Canis lupus familiaris: one gene and its partner. The main gene of each other region encodes a partner of the protein of the gene in region 2 in a complex. Links are inferred from orthologs where the notes say so. Each region holds a gene or a part of one and is shown on either strand. Other genes may lie near its edges.

Region 1 (2,896 bases), on a different chromosome or scaffold from region 2:
TGTGAAAGTTAAATGAAATAATTACTCTGCCTGGTGAGGAAGACACATTTAAGAGGCTTATTTCCAACTCTTTACACTGCACTTCAGAGGCTTCAGGGGGTTTGACCCTGACCCCTGGAAGGCCTCAGAGACCCCTCTTCCTGGCTCACTGGCTCCCGGGGCTCATCGCCTTTCTACGTTCCAACCCCCTGAGCTCACTCCCCTCCCATAGCCTTTGCACTCACTGTTTCCTCTGCTGGGCACAGTCTGTGGTTGGTCCTTCCTATCATTCTGGTCTCTGTTAAAGACCCCTCAACCTAAAGCAATCCCTTCATGCACTATCACTCTACTATTTTCCTATATGCCATACTTCATATCAGCAGGAATAGCACATCCCCAGCAAGTAGCTAGCATAGAATCTGGCACACAGGAGCTGCTTAATGCATGTCAGATGAGTAATAGACAAATCATGCCAGACACGGAGTAAGTGCTCATTACATTACCATTTTGATTGTCCAGCCCGTTGTGGCTCTTGGGGATGGAGAGATGAATCAGACCCAGGCCCTTGCCTCAAGTAGTTCACAGTCCATTAGGAATAAGACCTAGAGAGGAATGATCACAGCCAGGGAGTGTTAATAAGCGCCCAAGGGGGCCAAACGGTGTCTGAACACTTAGAGAAGGGAAGATCACATTCACCTTTGAGGGAATCTGGGGAGGAAGTAGTTAAACTAAGCCTGAAGACCAAGTGGGATTTTCAAAGGGATGGTGGTGATGGTGGTGGTGGTGATGATGATGATGGTGAGTAACTTTGGAGGACTTCCATGTGCCAGTCACTGGGTAAAAACTTTGAATGGATTAACTCCCAACAGCCCCATGGGGAAGTTATTGTTTCATTTTTCAACTGGAAACTGAGACATTGAGGGGCTGTGTATTTGCCTGCGGTCAACAGTTAGTGGGTGGCAGAACCAGGATTTAAACATGTGCTGTCTGAACCCAAAGCCTGTGCTCTTAGCTACATACACCCCACAGTGCCACAAAGCATGACAAGGCTCTATGAGTGGGTGGAACAGTGAAAGTATGTCGGAGGGAAATGCTTCCCATGAGGACTCAGGGGACCCTCAGAACAGCCCATGAGTTAAATGGGTGCCCCTTTAGTTCTTCTGAGTGCTCAAGATAACGATGCTAGTGATAGCTAGCACTTATTGAGCATTCATTCGATGCATTATTGTATTTAATCACTGTAGCTTCTTGAAAGAAGAAGCCCTGTGCTCACCCCCACTTTATAGGTGAGGAAAATGAGGCTTGGACAGGTTGTGAAACTTGTCCAAGGTCCCACAGTAGTCAGAGATGAAACAATTGCTGGACTGTACGCTCCTGGAGGCCAAGGACTGTCTATTTAACCTAACATGGCACCAGAGTATACACTTATTAAGTGAATGAATGAATGCAACAATTCATTGAATACTCCCTCTTTAATGCTCCCTTCCTCATCAGGTTATTGTAGAGATTAAATTAGATAAGAAGACACTGAGCACAATTTTTGGCACATGGTAAGAGCTCAGGAAGACTACCTGCTCCTATGATTATGATTGTGATTATCTGCTTCCTTTTTTTTTTTTTTTTTTTTAATTTTTATTTATTTATGATAGTCACAGAGAGAGAGGGGGGGGGGGGCAGAGACATAGGCAGAGGGAGAAGCAGGCTCCATGCACCGGGAGCCCGATGTGGGATTCGATCCCTGGTCTCCAGGATCGTGCCCCGGGCCAAAGTCAGGCGCCAAACCGCTGCGCCACCCAGGGATCCCGATTATCTGCTTCCTATTAAGACCTTTACCTGCTGATGTTTTTTTTCCTTCTCCTCTCCAGACTCAGAAGTACAGCTTCTCGAGTATGAGGCCTCTGCTGCTGGCCTCATCCGATCCTTCTCCGAGCGCTTCCCAGAGGATGGGCCCGAGTTGGAGGAGGTCCTCACTCAGCTGGCCACAGCCGATGCCCGGTTCTGGAAGTGCCCCAATGAGGCCTCATCTGACCAGGCTTGAGAGATTTATGCAGCTCCTCCCCCAACTCCACCAAACCAGGGTTGCAAGTGACCCCCCTTTCATTTGTGTGCTAGGGGAGGAGCAGGAGCTCGCACCTTGGTGCTACCTCAGCCAAGGGTGGTGACACTAACCCCTTCCATTTGTGGGCACTTGCCAGTTTACCGAGTGCTTCTCCTGTGTTATCTCATTTGATCTGCACTGCCCTTGGAAAGAGTGGGCAAGGCCGGGCTCCTTATGCTGCTTCCCAGATAAGGGAATGGAAGTTCTGAGAACTATCTAAATGCTACAGGACTTAAAACCTCTCCCAATCCAGTGCTCTTCATTACTTTTATAACCAGAAAAATAAACATTAGAAACAACCACCATCTTTGGAATTTGTGTGAATCTTTGATTTTTGCCTTGCTTCTCATTTGCTCCCAGCAGGGCAAAGGGATCAAGGCCTGGGGAAGGGAAGAATGTCAGTTTAGGTTCCCCTCCACAACAGGGTTTTGATAACACTTCTAAATGATACACAGCCATGAGGAGGAGCATAGCACACTTTCTGCAGTTCTCCTTTGTGGCATTATCCTGTATTTAAAAATATTCCAGGAACCTAAAAACTGGAAACTCAATTTCAGTCAATCCTAGGATTTAATCTCTTAACACTATGTTTTGTTTCTCTGAGCGCAGCCCTCTAGAAGGACATAGCCCCTTTTCAACCGGATTAACCATGAGGAGGAGGAGGGTGTAGTGGAGTCAGTTTCGCTGCTCTCCAGGCCAGAGGGTCCTGCCAATAATCCAGAAATTGCAAAGCCAGGAAGTTCCGGCTGGGAAGGAGCAAAAAATAAATCATACCAGTTGAGATTAGGAACTGCGCCTCAGCAGGCAGGAACCCAACTA
Region 2 (3,815 bases):
AGGAAAGAGGAGCAAGCCGAGGAATTCTGGGGTCCAGGACAGCTCCTAGAGAAAGCCCCGCCCTCAGCTCTCAGGGGGGTCCAAACCCTTCTGGGAAGCCAGGCCCCAAAATAGCTCTTGGAATGTAGCTGAGTGGGTGGGGGGTACAGGGGATGATGGCATTGAAAAAGTCCCCCTCTCAGGGTGGACTGAAATGCAGGCTTCCAAAACCAGTGGGTGAGTCCAAGCCTGAGGAGAGCACCCCCCACCCCCCTTTACCTCTTCTACTCCCAGGAGGAGACAATACATCGAGAGCTAGGTCAATGGATGGAGGGAGGGATGCTGCAGGACCGGGGTCACACAGGCCTTCTGCTCCGGAACAGCCCTCCCTGTCCCGGGCCCGGGCTCACCCCACACCCCTTCCCACCCTGGGCAGAAGGTTGGGCCCAGGCCCCCACTTTCCAGGAGGGGACCAGCCAAGGGGGTGCCAGGATGTTTCCAGGGAGCCGTACCGGGGAGACAGGTTCTTCACCCACGTCGGGAAGTTGTGCTGGAAGGTGAGGGCCTCCACCGTCTGCAGGCCCCAGGTGCTGAGGGGCCGCACCAGCAGCAGGCAGGCGCTCTTGCCGAGGGGCACCTGGGTCATGGAGAGGTTGCTCTGGGGGTCGCTCCAGTGCTGGAAGGTGCCTGTACCCGAGAGCATGGGGACCGACACCGAGGTGGTGTTGTCCACCCAGAACTCCCGCAGCCCCGCCAGGGGGGAGAGCCCCTTTAGCTTTCCTGGAGAGCCAGAGAGGAGACAAGAAGGAAGAGTCGGCTGAGGCAGGGGCAGGCGGGTTGGGCTCAGGGCTGGGGATGCCCCCCAGACCCCGGAGGCCTAGCCTGTGCCCCCCACCCTCCCAGCACACCCCCAGGCCGCTGGCCAGTCTGCCACCCCAGCGCTTCAGCAGCTCCAGGACCCCTGAGGGCCAGCCACGACTTCCTCCTGCAAAATCCAACCACCTGAGTTCACTACAGAGACACCAGCTGCCAGTGTCGAAGCCATTTCACACAGCAGGTGCCACACTGGGACTTTACACCTGTCACCGGAAGGCCCGCAAGGGAAACCAGAGAGCATAGGGAACTTAGGCCACGCCGAACTATCCCTGTAAACGCACCCCAGATCTGGCCTGGCCCAAAGCCGTGGTCTGCGTGCTCACTTTCTTCGTTTTAAATAGACGTAATTTTTTTTAGAGAAGTTAGATTCACAGCAAAATTGAGAGGAAGGTATTAGAGCTTTCCCATGTACCCAGCACCCCCACGCACGCACAGCCTCCCACACTGTCGACACTCCCAAGGAGTGGGGCACCTGTTACACTGATGAACCTGCGCAGACACGTCATTGTCACCCAGAGACCATGGGTGACGTTAGAGCTCACTCTTGGTGCTGTACGTCCTGTGGGTCTGGACAAATGTGCAATGACATGTGCACCATCACAGTATCATCCGGAGTAGCTCCTCGGCCCTACGTGTGCTCGGAGCACATTCTCTTTTCAATCTGCGAACACTGCCAGCTGAGAGTCTCCCTTTCTCAAGTCGTAGGATGCAGACCTGGGCACACACGTCCAGGCTCCATGTCTCAGGCTCCCGTGCTGCCAGGGATAGACGCTCGACCTGGTGTGACCAGTGGCTCTGAGCACAGTGCTCTATGCCAGCTCACACTGGGCCTTGCAGGGGAGTGCGGGGCCAACCTGTCTGGTGCCTGGCAGTGGCAGAGCAGAGTGGCCACCTGGTTCAACTGTCACAGGATGAGGGGTGGACACCTGCTGAAGACCCTGTCCCCGGGGATCTCTCCATGACTGCAGCCACTAGCACAGCCCCTTCCCTGCGTTCTTCTCAGTTGTCTTAGGAGCCTCATCACCCATGTTGGGGCTCTTTCTGGAAGAATGAGGTGATGGTGAGTCTGTCACAGAGCAGCCCCTGGGTGCCGGCCAGTTGGGAATCTGAGTAGAGGCAGGTGAAAGAGCCAGGGCTTCGTTTTCCTGGACCAGACGTCTCCAAGGTGGTTGGGGGGTGTGGAGGCTGGAAGGACGGGCGCCTGGGGGAGGTGGCTGATTGGGCTGCCTTCCCAGGGCCTGGCTCCCCTGAGAAGGAACTGGGGAACCCAGCGTCCTCTTGCTCCTTGATACTCAGAGGCCACGGGGAGTGAGGAGCTGCAGCGTCCCTCCTCCCAGACTCCCCGAGGGGCCCTCTGTGCTGGCCCACCAGGCCTGGCCGAGGACTTGTCAATTTAGGGGAAGAGAGGACTAAACAGAAAGATGTGAGAATCTGAAACAGAGGTGGCTGCCCTGTCCTGTCTGCTCAGCTGCACCATCCTCATCCAGAGGTTAAGTAAATCTCTCAAGGTTAAGTCAACTGGTGTTGTGGAACCTGCCAGGGCCAGCAGCAGCTCGGGATGACAGCGAGGCCTGGGCAAAGGGCACCCTACAGCTCAGGGGCTCCCAGTCCCTGCGTCTTCACAGGTCAGGAGCATCCAGCTGTCTGCTGAGGTCATGGCAATAGAACATCATCACCAAAGGGGAGCCTAGATCCCCCAGGACAGCCTGCTGCTTCCTCTGTGGGCACACTGTGGTGGGCAGGGAGGGGCTGTGCATCCCTGTTTGATGGAAACAGGCATAGGAAGGTCAGGGAGCAAGATCAGAGGGTGGGACCTGGTGGGGCTGGGTGAGCATCTGAGTCCTGAGCGTGGTTTCCTTGTCTCTATGTCTCTTGTCCAGCTGCATCATGAGAACACGTGGACAGGAGCTCTTCCGGAATGAGACCCCATCTCTGACACCCGTGGCTCTCTAGCTTTGCCTTTTGGGGGCACGACTTTCTCAATGAGCTCTCCGCCTGGGGCTTCTTAGGAACGGCAGGCTGAGCCCACGAGTCCCTTCTGCCCTCCGTGGGGTGGGGCTCCCCTCAGCTGGATGGTCCCTGTGCTGGACTCTGCTCCTATGACCCGTCAGCACTGGGACCTGAGCAGTCCTGGTCTATCATCTTCCTCCTGCCCCTTAAACGGGCCGGAGGTCCTTCCCTTTGCGGTTTACAGACGTCCAGGATGTTTCGGAGTAAGAAAATAGTCATGCTCTATGAAACCTCTCTGTCTCTGGTTTCATCCTTGGGCTGCTTGCTCACTTGGCTCTCAAATGCACCCTCCCCAGCCCACCCATCAGTTTGCAGAGCCACTACCTCAGCACGTGTTCCCAGGACAGTTTGCCCGTTGCGTAACCTTCCCGAGACCCTCCCTGCCTCCAATGCACACAGCCCCGGCCGCCCGGATGACCTCTGAACAGAACACTTTGCCTGCTCCAACACCCGCCAACCTTCCCAAAATCGCATTCCAAAATCTGGCCCGAACCCATCTTTCCAGGCTCTGCCTTCCACGTTCACTCTGAGCTCTGGCCAAACAGAGCTGCCCTTGCTCTGGTTCCTGGCCCTGAACTCGCCAGCCTTTGCTCACACATTTCTTCTTCTGCTCCCCTGACCTCCCCTGGGCCTCTGTCCTCTCCCCAGTGACTCTCCCTCCTCCAAGTGCTCCGAGCCTCGGAGGACCTTCCTAGGCACTTCGTAGGTGCTTTAATCTGCAGCTCTGTAGCGGGGGACATTTGCCTGTGGGATCTATCTCCCCTCCGAGACACCGAGCTCAGGGGCTTGCACTTAATAAATCTTCAACAATTATTTGTTGAATGAGCAAACTATCTTTGTAGGGATTTAGGGGTGGTGGTGGTAATAACCCCTCCCGACATGAAAGTGGTGTAAGCCAACAAACTAGTGGTTTTTGCACAGACACTGACCTTCTCAAGAGACAAGAACCC

The links.
Region 1: the proteins of AGT (region 2) and DPP3 are in contact, whole or in part, in a crystal structure (PDB 5E2Q), measured with the Homo sapiens proteins. The link is inferred for Canis lupus familiaris from reciprocal best matches to the Homo sapiens genes AGT and DPP3. Residues at the interface, in NP_001369746.2 of Homo sapiens: Asp25, Arg26, Val27, Tyr28, Ile29, His30, Pro31, Phe32; in NP_005691.2 of Homo sapiens: Phe109, Glu316, Tyr318, Glu329, Phe381, Gly385, Ile386, Pro387, Ala388, Gly389, Ile390, Asn391, Ile392, Asn394, Arg399, Val412, Leu413, Val415, Ala416, Phe443, Val447, His450, His455, Glu507, Glu508, Asn545, Arg548, Leu552, Glu555, Phe556.

What each region holds. Positions count from the first base shown.
Region 1 is NC_049239.1:51,338,290-51,341,185, reverse strand, and holds the end of DPP3 (dipeptidyl peptidase 3), read left to right. Parts: intron 1-482; exon of another isoform or gene 483-581; intron 582-1,812; exon of another isoform or gene 1,813-1,844; coding exon 1,845-2,017; 3' UTR 2,018-2,382; downstream 2,383-2,896. UniProt on the Homo sapiens protein: Cleaves and degrades bioactive peptides, including angiotensin, Leu-enkephalin and Met-enkephalin. Also cleaves Arg-Arg-beta-naphthylamide (in vitro).
Region 2 is NC_049225.1:9,068,092-9,071,906, reverse strand, and holds part of AGT (angiotensinogen), read right to left. Parts: intron 760-3,815; coding exon 492-759; intron 1-491. UniProt on the Homo sapiens protein: Essential component of the renin-angiotensin system (RAS), a potent regulator of blood pressure, body fluid and electrolyte homeostasis.